4 linked regions of the Tribolium castaneum genome follow. The protein of the gene in region 2 binds, or shares a complex with, the protein of the main gene of each other region. Links are inferred from orthologs where the notes say so. Each region holds a gene or a part of one and is shown on either strand. Other genes may lie near its edges.

Region 1 (4,258 bases), on a different chromosome or scaffold from region 2:
ACTACAGTTCACGGACAAGAGGTTCCAGCCAGTTCATGATTTGACAATCGGGGTGGAGTTTGGCGCTCGAATGATCACCATTGATGGCAAACAAATCAAATTACAAATTTGGGACACTGCCGGACAGGAGGCTTTTAGATCTATAACGCGGTCGTACTATCGGGGGGCTGCTGGCGCTCTTTTAGTTTATGACATTACGAGGAGGGAGACTTTCAACCATTTGACTACATGGCTTGATGATGCCCGCCAGCATTCCAACTCAAATATGGTCATCATGTTGATTGGAAACAAAAGGTGTTCATCCCGTTTTATTTTTTTTTTTTTCAAAAGTGTTAACTAAACCCTTCCAGTGATCTAGAGAGTAGGAGAGAAGTGAAAAAGGAAGAAGGAGAAGCTTTTGCCAGAGAACACGGACTAGTCTTTATGGAAACTTCAGCAAAAACGGCCGCCAACGTTGAAGAAGCGTTTATAAACACAGCAAAAGAGATCTATGAGAAAATACAAGAGGGAGTCTTTGACATTAACAATGAGGTAAATCAGCGGTTCTGCTCTGTTAAGCTAATTGGCATTTTCTAAAGGTTACACAAACTTTAGAAATCAATAATTTTATACATTAGCAAGTTCATTACCCCATTTTTGGTGATACTTTCTTCTGACTTTGAAATTAAGTTGGCAGCTTGAGACGTCACACGTATAGTGCTGCCAACTCAAATTCACAACTATTGTGTTTTAAATTTTGTTGTTGAAATTGTGCAGGCAAATGGAATCAAGATTGGCCCCCAACATTCCCCCACAAATCCATCGCTTCCTGGTGCAGGCGGCGCCGGGGGTTCGCAGGGTTCGAGTTGCTGTTAAGATGACTTGTCTGTCTTGAGGGTTACATTATGTGTAAGAGAGAAACCCTTATTAAAGAATTGAAAGTGACTGCACAGGTTTATTACATAAATTAATGATCTGATATCTTCCAAATTAGCAAGTTGCACTTTACCCCATCGTTCAACAACCTTTAGAGACAAAACTTTTCAAATATTTTGATACATATGGTGATATTGGCCCCCACTAATTTATGTAATGAAAGGATTATTATTGTGATTATTTTAAGAGTGTGGTATAGTTAGTCCAATACAGGTCACATATTTATTGTTTTGAGTTCATATTTTATAGAGTACCAACCGAAAAGCCGTTTCAGAAGCATTACATCTTACTTTAAACCAACTTTATTTTTGTTATTGGTGATAATAGTGTTATGTGTTTTATTGCGACTATTATACTTAATTAAGAAATGTAGTGTTTATCTCATTAAATAAATTTGTATTGTAAAACGTCAAATTTTTTATGTAAGCTTCATGTAATATAATCAAATATAAGTTGTATTGCCAGTTTGTGTTTGTTTTACCCAAAATTTGAAACGGGCGCGTGAGTAATGGCACCCGGAAGTGCACGCGTCGTCCAATCAGGCCGCGTTCTGCGTTCATGAGTGAAGTCGTTTCCGTGCAAGATGGCGGAAAAAACTATGTGCATATCACAGCAACAAACAAAACCTATAAAAATTTTAAAATGGAAAGTGAGCGAAGGGAACACTGTCTCGATCGGAAGAGTAATCCTTCTGTATGATTTTGACGGGGCTTCCAAGGTGGAACAACGCAAGTTGAAGGTAACACAGGCCGGAACAATTTTTAAGATTGTGGCGCAGGAAGGCGCCATTGTCAAGCCAGGGTAAGCAACAGTTTTGAAAAGGCGCGCGAAAGCTCACGCTCGAATTTTCAGCGAGACTTTGTGCGAATTGAAAGAATGCACGCATCCGACGGTGATGAACGACATGTGCGCAGAATGCGGCACGGATTTGAGGAAAAACGACGTCAGTGTGGCGGCTTCCGTGCCCATGGTGCATGCCATACCTGACTTGAAAGTCAGCGAAGAGGTGGTTGCGTTATATAAAATGCCGCTGCGGGGGTTTGACTTGCATTGTTGCAGCTTGCACAGAAACTCGGCAAAGCGGACGTTGATCGGCTTATTAGAGACAGGAAACTTGTCCTGCTTGTGGACTTGGATCAGACCTTGATCCACACAACCAATGACCACATTCAGCCGAACATCAAGGATATCTATCGCTTTCAGTTATACGGGCCCAATTCACCTTGGTACTTCACAAGGTTGAGGCCCGGAACCCATCAGTTTTTGAACAATATTTACCCGTTTTACGAGCTGCATATTTGCACCTTTGGCGCAAGGAATTACGCACATATGATTGCTGCGGTTCTGGACAGGGACCAGAAGTTTTTCTCAAATCGTATTCTCTCGCGGGATGAGTGTTTTGACCCAACTAGCAAAAAGGCGAACTTAAAGTACGTATTTGAAAAGAAAAATCTGAAAAATCATTCCGTTATTCCTGTTTTTTGAGTCTTTCAAAATCATAAGTAAATAGTTTTTCTCTTCAAGTGTTTTTGAATCACTTTGCATATGTTCACTCTACCATATTTGAGTGTAGAAGGTCTAGCTTTCGAAAAAAAAAAGGCAAAAATGAGACCAGGATGAAAAACTTGATAAATTCGGACAAGAAAGCAAAATTAAAAGTAATTTTTGCCTTAATTACTCTCAAATCGAAGGTACTTTAAGACGAACTTGCACAATAAATAAATATATCGGATTAAAAATTTAAAACCAACTTGTTAAACTGAGAGAAGCAAGCTAAAGTAACAGTTTCGATCTAATTTTCTAGTCTTAGACTATCTTCGTGATATTTAAAACAACAATTGTGCTAAAAGTTCGCGAAAATATTTTTTTATATTTTTTGATACGCTGTGTTACATAATTTTTTATATTTAGGGCTCTATTTCCTTGCGGGGACAACATGGTGTGTATTATTGACGACAGAGAGGACGTGTGGTCGAACGCCGCAAATTTGATTCATGTCAAGCCGTACCATTTTTTTCAACACACCGGCGACATAAACGCACCCCCTGGTTTAGACAAACATGAAAATGATAACAAGGGAGTTGATTTAACAAAAATTAAAGACCAGAAAAAAGACGAACAAATCCAGAATAACGATAGTAAAGCGACAGAAAATGACAGTGAGAAAAATGGTGAAAATGTCGAGGAAAGTAAAGTTGAGAATCAGGTTTCAAATGAATCTGAGAGTACAAAAAACGAGAGTAAAGAAAATACCGAAGATAGTGAAGGAAATAATAAAGTAGATGAAAATAAAAACGGTGACGACAGTAGCGAACAAAAAATTGAAAATGTTGAATCTAAAGGTGTGAATGGTGAAGCAGTAACTAATGACGAAAAGCCTCCACCTGAAGAAAGTAAAACGCAAACGGAAGGGGACACCAAAACTGAAACCCCTCCGGAAACAAAAAACGCAATCGAAATAAACAATCATTTAGTAGAAGTTGAAGACCCCGATGACTATCTCTCCTATCTAGAAGATATACTAAAACGTATTCATCAAGCTTTCTATGACGCTTATGATAAAATGGAATCGGGAGAGGTTCCCGACTTGAAGAAGGTGATTCCCGGGGTGCGAAGTCAGGTGCTACAGGGCTACAAGCTGGTTTTTAGCGGGTTGGTGCCAACTCACATCAAATTAGAACAATCAAAAGCGTACCAAATCGCCAAGAGTTTGGGTGCTGAAGTTACGCAAGAGCTGGAGGACGACACGACACATTTGGTGGCTGTTAGGCCAGGCACTGCTAAGGTGAACGCCGGCAGAAGAAAGAAGAACTTGAAGATTGTTACACCCGATTGGCTGTGGTGTTGTGCAGAACGGTGGGAGCACGTAGACGAGAAGATTTTTGCTTTGAATAGCAAAGGCTCAAAAAACCGGCATCCACCGCCTCATTGCAGCAGTCCAGAGCATATTATAAGTTATCCAGAGCACAATACGCCCGCTATGCGAAAAAGGACACCCAGTGGAAGGTTTATGGACACGATTAATCCTCTCATGTCGTTTTCCAGCGCAGATATAGCGGATATGGATAAGGAGGTAAGGTTAAAAATTAGGTGAAAGGGGAATACGTTTATTGTGTTCCTAAACCGGACACTAGGGTACCAGCTATAGAAAAAAAGCGTTGTCCATAAAATCTTAATTAAATTTGCAGCAACCAAGACTTTTATTTAATAAAAAATCGTCAATTAAAAATAATGTAGGGCGACGAATTTGTTTTCAACCAACTTCAGTTAGGATCTTCTTTATCTGACAAACTGGTCGAAAGTCGGCAATTAGTTTTATTCAGTTTGACATTTTGTTTTATAA
Region 2 (3,058 bases):
AAACTATAGTTAAACTTCGTCGTTGCACTTGTAAGTATAGTTGTCTTTTTAAAATAATAAAAACGCATCAAATCAAGTTTCCACCACATGAAGTACTTTGATTTGTATTAATAGGACAACCAAGAGAACAACTTGTGTTCCATATTCTCTAATAACGTTAGTGAGGCTTCATATTATGTCAGACTTCAGCAGAGGCTTAAAAATTGTCTATAGTTTAGTCTAAAATTAAAAAAAATCTTTTTCTTATTTATTCATTGTTGTAAGGTAATAAGCTTCCACAACTTTTTCAAAGTTATAATTTTTGTCTTAATGTAAGAAAACGTGAAAATTCAACCACTGAGTTGGTCATGTTGGTCCATTGTTATTTTTGGAATAATTTTACTTGGCGGATACCAAAATTATTGTTTAAATCGTTTTGTTCAAATTTAGGATTTCTTGTTTTTGATAGTGTTTCATTATGTCCTTGGTTTCAGTACAAAAAGCCACGTACTTAACACCATCATACCCAGTTAATTCAAAAATTATATGAAAATAACGTTCTATGTGGGTGCAAATGTTTTTTTTGACAAAGTTTAATTGTCAGTCTAAAATGTCAATTGAAAATTTCAATTTTCACGGATTGTGATTGCTCACATTTTTTCTCGGTTTTGTTTTAGTTTGTATTTTTCTCAGCAGATAGAGCTAGCTAAGGAGAAAATTTTTAGGTTAGGAGAAATATCTTAAAAATACTATTTTTTATCAAAAGTATTTAAAAATATCAAACTGTATTTATATTGTTCTCAGTTCTGAAAAAATAAGCTTTTCGAAAATGTCATAGCCAAGTATGATTTCAATTTACAAAAATACAACTTTATGTTATTAATGTTATTACAGCCAAACGAATAATTAAAAAAAACACTGATAACGTTATTAAATTCTCTATAAAAAAGTGCTTTATAATGTTTTGTTTCAGTCGTGTAGCTTTTAGAAGGGAAGATATGAATTTTTTAAGATTTCGCTAAAATGTCAACTTTTGTTTATAAGTCGAAAACAAAAGACGAGAGCGGGATGCGGTTTTGACCAAAATTATTTACTCGAAAAACGAAAATGTGTCACTCGTTTTTCTCGAAACCTCTTATTTTCAAAGATCTTCCTTTTCTTACATCCAAAAACGCAGCACCTGTACAAAGATCTGAAAATTATTATTGCGTTAGAATTTGGCTTAAAATATTACTATAATATTTTTTGCAATGTATGTCTGAAGTCTTTTTAATAGGATGGCCTTTATATCAAAAATCAAAAATTTTCTATAGCTTCCTAATCCCTAGACAAACCATTTGTTAATCCTGTATTTGAACAGAATTTCAACATAAAAACAGCTTTATGGTTATACAGGTGTCTCAAAATTGGCGAATTTGGCATTAATTTGTTTCGCTTAAATCAGTTATTTTTTTGATTTTCCATTTAAAAAACGATACAAAATGTTCATAAATATTTTTAACTCGGTTTAAAGTAAATACATAAATACGAAATACAGGCCAAAATATCTATTCTTCCATTTGCTTCGTTTGAAAAAAATATTTTAAGATTTCTTGCTTAAAAACGAGCTAAACCGTCACTTGCATCATTTATCAGTTGACCCGAAAAAGAAGAAGCGGGACACAGATGTGGAAGCATTTGAAGATTCGGATGATGGAGATGGCGAGGGCCGAGAATTGGATTACATTAGTGATAGTTCAGAGAGTGAACCTGAAAACACGAATCTGGAGAGCGTGGCTGAAGAAAAAGCCTTGCGAAAACTACTAACATCAGATGAAGATTCGGAAAACGATTCAGACAAATCCGAGAAGGAACAAAGCAATGAAGATGAAGAAAACAAAGAGAAAGAAAGCGAGAAAACCGAGGAGGGCGCTGACAAGGACAAGAAGAAGAAGAACAAAAAGAAGAACAAGAAAGAGATTAAAAAGGAGGTGAAGAAAGAGAAAGAGTCAAACAGTGATTTTAGTTCCGATAGCAGCACAGACGAAGAGACCAAAAAGAAGAAGAATGATAAGAAAATGAAAAAAGAAGAGAGGGAAGCAAATAGTGCCAATAGTTCAAGGTCTGCAACGCCAACTGATCACAAGCGGAAGTTAGTAAATGATGTAATGGCAGGACCGTCTGCTAAAAAACAGAAGTTAGATTTACCGAATTATATTGTTGGGTCGAGGTAAGTTTTTTGAATTTGATTGAAGAAAGTGTTAAGTTTGGTTTTAGTGAGTCTGGAATTACCGAAGATGCTGTTAGAAAATATCTAATGAGGAAGCCGATGACAACCACTGAGCTTTTGCAGAAATTCAAATCGAAAAAGACGGGACTTTCGAGCGAACAGCTTGTCAATATTATGACACAAATATTGAAGAAAATTAATCCCGTGAAACAAACATTGAAAGGGAAGATGTATCTGTCGATAAAGTCTTGATTGAATCAATAATGTTGCTGTAAAAATTTTCTATCTATAAGGAGTTAAAGGAGTATGATATTTATGTATAATGGGAGTTGTAATTACATATTAATTAATAAAAATTTATTTACAGCAATTATTGTTTTCTTAATTACTGTCTATAATTAAAATAACGCCTCAAAGTTTGATTTTAAAATGATATTTGTTCTAAAGTTGTCCATAAAGAGAACGAAGAAGTCGATAAAGCTATACTTTTCTTGACTAATGTCATTAAAATCGTCCGTAAAGTGATTGAAATAGTCAACAAAGTGTGGCCGCGTGTATTGTTAGTTGCATAGTGTTTTAACCTTTTGTATGAGAAGTAAAATATATCTAATTAAATTATTGAAGTTTATTTTATAGTATTAGAAATACATTGCCAGAAATAAAAAATACAAATATTTTGTATAGAAGGTTTTTTGTTGCAAAATTTTTTGAAAAATTGTCATAAGCGACGTTGAAGTGATTTATCAAATATTGGTCTTTTTTATAACAAAAAGTTGAATAATATTTAAATATAACGTATTACACAAATACACATAAATAAGCTTTTCAAAATATCACGGTTACCTATGATTCCTATTTTAAAAAATACAA
Region 3 (3,384 bases), on a different chromosome or scaffold from region 2:
ATGTGCCTTTACAACCCTCTAGGGTTGTTAAAAGTTCAAAAAAAATCCTTATGTTCGATTTTTTAATATTTGATTTTTTCAATTTTCGTCGCAGTTTTTGTCGGTTTTGGGTACCCGGAACATTTCTCGAGCAATAGCTCCGGAACTATTAGAGATAACCCCATGAAGTGTATTATCGTTGGAAAGCTCTTTTAATTGTCTATCTTTTTCAAAAAAGATCTTTGCTCTCCGACTAATAGTTTTCGAGAAAATTGCAGATAAATGCAAAAATTGGTAAAATTTTAAAAAATTCGTAACCAAAAAACTAGTGGGAATTTGGCAATTTTCTCGACGCCAATCGATTCCCTGGATCATTTTGCATAGGTAAAGATCAAAACAGTTCCCCTTTTTCGAATAGTTTAGTCGTAATTGAGAATATAATAAAAATTAAAAATAAATTAAGACCTCCCTCCCCTCCAAAATGGCCATTTTTAAAAGTGTCTCAGAATCAAATAACACTTATCCTTTCTTATAGATTTTGATGTGCTCTTTACGATGGAAAAAAGAGTTTTTTCCTAGCTCTTTTAGTTTGGCCGTAATCGGCGATTGAAAATTATAAAACTTTTTGCGAGATATCGCTTTGAGTCCTATGCCATTTTGTAGAGTTTTTATTGCGCTTTTCTACAATTCTTCCGTTTTTAGATAACTCTAATAATTTCGCCGTAATCGGCAGTTGAAAATGGAAAAAAAGCGAAGATGGAAACTTTATTTGCGTTTTTCTCGGAAACTCTAAGACTTAGAGAATCAAACTAAAAAAACGGATGGCGCTTAAAATTATCTATTTTTTCGTCCAAACCCGGAGCTGCTCCGGGCAACGGTTCCGGTTACAGAGGCAATTAAAGTTTTACACTAAAAAAAATCATAACCCAAAAAGTAAAAGTCGTTGGGCAATGCGGTTTGTTTCATTTTCTTTGTTATACCAGCTTTTTTTACGAGATTAAAAATTTTGATTTTTTTTGCTAAATTCTGCTATATCGTAAATTAACTTAATTTTTGTATTTCGCGGTAAAATAATTCGGGCAGCCATTTTGTGCTTTAGTCAACCCACAATACACCACTTTTTTACTATTTTCTTATTGCTTAAATCTCTTTTTTGTACCCATAAAAACCCCACGACTCACTAATCACCATACGACTTTTTTGTCGTGGTAGTAATTTTTTGTGATAAGAATTGATAAAAACTCTTCATTCCGGCGCTTGCGCACTATCCCCGATCGCGTCCTGCCGTTACCCCAAAATTTTCCTCATCTCTCGCCTTCATTTTCCATCAAAATGTCGGCCATCTGATTTCCCTAACCTCAAAAGTGCATATGTGCGCGTAAAAATGCCATTATCGCCCGTTTCCACTCTCGGAAACCGTTCATAATCAGCTTAACGTAGTGTGGTGCGCCCCCAAGGCCATGTCGAACTCCCTGTGCAAGACTTCGGTGCTCCGCATCTACCAGGAGGTGATCGACGACGTGATCAGCGGCGTCCGCGAGATCTTCCTGGAGGACGGCGTCGACGAGCAGGTCCTCCAGGAGCTGAAGCAGACCTGGGAGACCAAGCTCAAGGCCAGCAAGGCGGTGCAGAGCGAGGAGGAGAAGGCGAAGAAGGCGGAGATGACCGCCACCAACGGCTTCCCCAAGCAGCATGTGGCGCAGCCGGCGGCAGCCCCCGTGGGGCAGATCGCCGAGACGAAGATGGTCCCCATCCAGATCACGCTCCCGGCGCAGCCCGGCAGCGACCAGGGCCCCAGGATACTCACGATACAGGTCCCCGCCACGGCGCTCCAGGGGAACCAGCTCCAGAAGGTGCTCACGGGGCAGATCATCACGGGGATGATGAATTTGCCCGCCAATATTGCGTCTTCGGTGCTCCAGCAGCACGTCAACGCGGTGTTTAACAGGTAGTCAGTTAGCCCCCTTTTAACTTAAATCGTCCACGCAAAATGTTTTCGGGTCACCCTGTACAAAGAAAAATACATGTTTTGTGCACACTTATGCAGATATTTTTGTCAATAATTGTTTTAAAAATTTTCTAATTATTGTTTAAAATTTTATCGGATTTTTAATAATGTTCTCTTCGGAATAAATAAAAAAGCTTGTAATAATTGTAGTTTTTTGTTATGAGATAACGTGTTTTTAACAGCCAGCAGCAGCAGATCGTGACCATTGTCAACCGAAACATCGCCCAGACGGACGGAAGCCACGCCGAGGAGGAGGAGGAGGAACAAATCGAAATCGAGTTTATTTTGCCTAGGAAGAAGGTGCCCCAGGTGGACGGCCCCGTGGACACGTCCGACGACGATGAGGACGGGTCTGACGACGATAACGACGACGAGGATATCGATGACGATAAGGACGAAGAGGATCAAGAAATGGAGGAAGAAGGTGGTGAAGAAGAGCCCCTGAACTCCGAAGACGATGTGACTGATGACGACCCAACTGATTTGTTCGATACTGATAACATCGTTGTTTGTCAGTACGATAAAATCATAAGAAATAGGAATAAGTGGAAATTTTATTTGAAAGATGGGATAATGAACTTGAGTGGACAAGATTATGTCTTCCAAAAGGCTAACGGTGATGCGGAATGGTAATTAGTGTTTTTTAAGAAGTTTTGTTTTTTTTTTATTATTTTCAAGTCACTTGCACGCAAAACCCGTCACTTATTCAAGGGAACGTTGGGTTCCGACTTAAGTTATTGAACTTTTGTATGTAAAATGGGAGAATAGCCTGAGTTGTAGAATTGTGTTATCCATTATAAATGTAACTAATAATAGGCGTTTAGATTTAATCGAAATTTTTACTATGTATTATCAATTATCGATAGCCGTTTGTGAATAAAACTATTTTTGAAGTTACACCATTGGTCGTTTTTCTAACACCTGGAAGATGACAAAAATCGCAAATTAGCAGCTCTTTTGAAAAAAAATCATAACTCAAAAACTAAAAATCGTAGAGCAATGCCTATAATGGAAAATTATATTCAACAAAAAAATTCATAATTCGAAAACTAAAAGTCGTAGAGCAGTGCGGTTCGTTCCATTGGATTCAGCGCCTTTTTTTCTCTATTATACTAATTTTTCACGCAATTTAAAATTTTCAATTTTTTTGCTCAAATTTCCTGAGTTATACACTTACTTACCTTCAAAGAGGTGAAAAAAAATTTTTTTTAAACTAACTCCAGCAAATTTTTATGGACTTCTACATGTCTTAACAACTCACAAAAGTTGTTAAAAGTCCACAAAAAGTCCAAATGTTCGATTTTTTGATGTTTGATTTTTTCAATTTTCGTCGCAGTTTTTGTCGGTTTTGGGTACCCGGAACATTTCTCGAGCAATAGCTCCGGAACTATTAGAGA
Region 4 (2,841 bases), on a different chromosome or scaffold from region 2:
AGTTGCGCATTTCGGGGTCTGAAACGTCGTCGATACTCACAGCTGGGGACATGTAAACCCTTGGTCTTGTCTTGATTACGTTTTCTTTGGCTGCATTCTCGGGAATTACCTTAATTGTATCTTTTTATTTTGTTGACTGTATTTTTGTACATACGGGGGTTTCGAAAGGTACATGGGGGTCCGTGCCTGTGATCTCTTTGCGTCTCCAAAGTAAGTTAAACGGGATGTAGACGTCGGGGCGTCGGGCCGCAAAAGTTTCATTGTCTTTAGGGACATACTCACTCGGGGGCTTGTCTTTTTTGTCCAAAAATTTTGCTTGACAATTCAAAGTGTCTTTACGAGGCTCAAGTGGGAATTTTTTGTAGTCATTCTGATAAGTGGTTTTGCTTCTAAAGATGTCCAACTTAATTCTGTCGTCGTGCTCGTTCATTTTTTCAACAGAAAGAAGGAACTGACTGTTTCAGTAATTGTAAAAAGTGACAGTTCAAACAAAACACTAATTTAAAAATTATCGGCTTTATTAACGTTATAATTAAATAGCAAGGGCATCGTTCTGTACTTCATGATTAAGCTGAGTCTGCAAATTGGACAATTTATCCTTCAGCATTGCCACCCCCATTATGACGATATTTTCGGGTTTTAGGGCTCCTGCAGCTTCCACATTGAAATAAAACTTGTTTGGTTTCAATTCCCAGTTAAAATCAGCCTCGTCTGGAACATTATGGTCAAACAAAACAACTAACAAGTAAAATATTTACATTGATCCTCATCCAGTTCGCTGTATTCGCTCTTGGGCCATTCGTCTGGCTTAGGAAAAAGCGTGTGTCTCATAGCATTATCGGGGTCGTACTCGAAGGCCACCCCCGCCGTGGGGTTCCACTTGGCGTGTTCCTTACCGAACCCCTTTTTAGCGTAAGCTTTAACCTTCAACTCTTGCCCTTTCCGCAACTTGATGATCAGAATTTCGTCAGTGTCGCCATACTCTGACGATTCATCGTCCCTGTGTTTGGAAGTGGCCGGAATAACTCTAGGATCGCTCGATTTTAAATCTGCGGTGGTAACGTGCCGCGTGTGGTCGTCAGTGCATTTCACATCAAGGGTGAATTCAACACTGCATTCATGACAAAAATCGGTGCAAATGCAGTCCTGGAAATTGCATTTTAGATGTGAAATAGATCAAATTAAACGACTAACTCTTGGGTATTGGAGACGTTGCACCACGTCGTCTGATATGAGGGGGATCAAGCCTATTCTGTGGGCCAAAAATTCGTCACTTAGGACGGTTGAGTTCGCCTCCAACTTGACCCAATCGATGGCCAAAGTTGGCGTTTCGGCGATTAGGACGCGCCTGATGCTGTTAGCCACGCTAAAAATTGGCCAGTTAGTGCCCCCTTAAAGAATTGTTGCTCACCTCAGATCGGTGTCTTCAATGTAGAATTTCACATTATCGTCGGTTAAATCGGTTATGTGGACCGAGGGCTGGTTTGCGTACGGCATATTAGAAAATTTCAATTACGAAAAGACAGGATTTGAACTTTTTTTAACACAAACACCGACAACAACACGACAGAACCTCAAAACTTATTATAAAAGGCAACTTACAGCACTGTCTTGTGTAACTGGTTGCCTGTGCCTATCAAAACTGTCAATTTTTGTGGTGTCAAGGATTTGTCAACCTCTGCAAATTTTTATTTAAAAATAAAAAACGCGAAAACAGTTTAAATATCGTGAGAAATTAACAAGTGTCCAATAATAATGACCGATAACATTCCCACAACGCCATATGTAGTTCAAATTAGTGAGGTAAGTGCTAATTGTTATTTATAAATTAGTAAGATTAAAGTATTATATTGCAACGTTATTCTAGCCCCTCGAAACCATACACTTGGCAGAACAAGTTGATAGTCAACTACAGATTGCCCAAACCGTGAGTAATCCTCACATCTTAGTTGAATCCATGGATAAGCCTCTTGAAATCATTGAAGAACCTTGCACGAGTGTTCCCCAAGAAGAACCACTGGGTTTCCAAATTATGTACCCCGAGGAACAACCATGTGTCGTCAAAATTGTGTACCCCCAAGAACTGAGTTTGATTGTGAGAACCACTTATCTCTTATTCCTTGAATTTATTTTTTTAATTAGCGAGCTCCAAATCTTGTAAAACGTGGACGCCCTAAAAAGAAGAAGCACGAAGCGCCACAAACTGATGCAAATACCGAATCAAAAACGGACAATGTCGAGGCTTCTAAAGCTTCCAGGACTCGTTCTGGTCGTCTAGTCAAGCTCCCAAAACACATAGAAAAGGTAAATTTTCAAGTGTTTTAGAAGTTAATCAGTGATGTTTCACAGGATTTCAAAAAATTTCAACCCAGTGTTAATGATCGCGAAGTACAAGTCACGGATTTTGAGAGAGTTGAGGAGAAGGAGAACAGTAAAATAGAATTTGCTCAATTACAGACCAGAAAGCGGGTGGTGAAAGCCCAGTTCAAGTGCCCCAAATGCTTCAAGGCTTATTTGGGCAAAAACAAAATGATTCAACATTTGAAAAAAAATCCCGACCATGGGCCTCTACCCGAGGGTTACCAGCAGTACAATTTCGATGTTTGGAATTATTTGTTTGACATCACCCAAAAATGCAAGGCTGGGCAAAGGGGCGTCAAGTTTTGCGAAGAATTGAGCAATTTGCTACATAACGTGCAGTTGCTAAAAAGCGCACTGTTTAAGACTGTCACAGATAACAAGAATTGTGTTCAAATTGATAAAGTTTTAGGCAATGCCATTGGCCTGGCGCCTGGGAAATATAAATTTGATGAGAATGAGTTGTATAAGGATGTCACTGTG

What was found.
Region 1: the proteins of TfIIFalpha (region 2) and Fcp1 are in contact, whole or in part, in an NMR structure (PDB 1ONV), measured with the Homo sapiens proteins. The link is inferred for Tribolium castaneum from reciprocal best matches to the Homo sapiens genes GTF2F1 and CTDP1. Residues at the interface, in NP_002087.2 of Homo sapiens: Thr470, Lys471, Leu474, Gln478, Ser486, Thr489, Val490, Leu493, Ala494, Leu497, Lys498, Leu500, Asn501, Pro502, Arg504, Met511, Phe513; in NP_004706.3 of Homo sapiens: Ala946, Asp947, Met949, Ala950, Lys951, Ala952, Leu953, Glu954, Glu956, Leu957, Asp959, Leu960, Met961.
Region 3: TfIIFalpha (region 2) and TfIIA-L share a complex: the UniProt entries of both Homo sapiens proteins name them as parts of the TBP-based Pol II pre-initiation complex. The link is inferred for Tribolium castaneum from reciprocal best matches to the Homo sapiens genes GTF2F1 and GTF2A1.
Region 4: TfIIFalpha (region 2) and Polr2C share a complex: the UniProt entries of both Homo sapiens proteins name them as parts of the TBP-based Pol II pre-initiation complex. The link is inferred for Tribolium castaneum from reciprocal best matches to the Homo sapiens genes GTF2F1 and POLR2C.

The regions. Positions count from the first base shown.
Region 1 is NC_087396.1:10,632,633-10,636,890, forward strand, and holds the start of Fcp1 (RNA polymerase II subunit A C-terminal domain phosphatase), read left to right. Parts: upstream 1-1,458; 5' UTR 1,459-1,498; coding exon 1,499-1,716; intron 1,717-1,767; coding exon 1,768-1,921; intron 1,922-1,974; coding exon 1,975-2,345; intron 2,346-2,826; coding exon 2,827-3,988; intron 3,989-4,258. Other genes in the region: Rab2 (ras-related protein Rab-2), read left to right, coding at 1-294, 351-531, 757-855. UniProt on the Homo sapiens protein: Processively dephosphorylates 'Ser-2' and 'Ser-5' of the heptad repeats YSPTSPS in the C-terminal domain of the largest RNA polymerase II subunit. This promotes the activity of RNA polymerase II.
Region 2 is NC_087400.1:9,154,647-9,157,704, forward strand, and holds the end of TfIIFalpha (general transcription factor IIF subunit 1), read left to right. Parts: intron 1-1,614; coding exon 1,615-2,188; intron 2,189-2,235; coding exon 2,236-2,440; 3' UTR 2,441-2,558; downstream 2,559-3,058. UniProt on the Homo sapiens protein: TFIIF is a general transcription initiation factor that binds to RNA polymerase II and helps to recruit it to the initiation complex in collaboration with TFIIB. It promotes transcription elongation.
Region 3 is NC_087395.1:25,201,029-25,204,412, reverse strand, and holds TfIIA-L (transcription initiation factor IIA subunit 1), read left to right. Parts: upstream 1-1,230; 5' UTR 1,231-1,439; coding exon 1,440-1,927; intron 1,928-2,169; coding exon 2,170-2,620; 3' UTR 2,621-2,884; downstream 2,885-3,384. UniProt on the Homo sapiens protein: TFIIA is a component of the transcription machinery of RNA polymerase II and plays an important role in transcriptional activation. TFIIA in a complex with TBP mediates transcriptional activity.
Region 4 is NC_087398.1:8,332,008-8,334,848, forward strand, and holds Polr2C (DNA-directed RNA polymerase II subunit RPB3), read right to left. Parts: upstream 1,554-2,841; 5' UTR 1,498-1,553; coding exon 1,412-1,497; intron 1,367-1,411; coding exon 1,195-1,366; intron 1,147-1,194; coding exon 759-1,146; intron 712-758; coding exon 533-711; 3' UTR 501-532; downstream 1-500. Other genes in the region: uncharacterized protein LOC103314913, read right to left, coding at 1-109, 155-430; uncharacterized protein LOC103314918, read left to right, coding at 1,756-1,803, 1,868-2,095, 2,143-2,304, 2,350-2,841. UniProt on the Homo sapiens protein: Core component of RNA polymerase II (Pol II), a DNA-dependent RNA polymerase which synthesizes mRNA precursors and many functional non-coding RNAs using the four ribonucleoside triphosphates as substrates.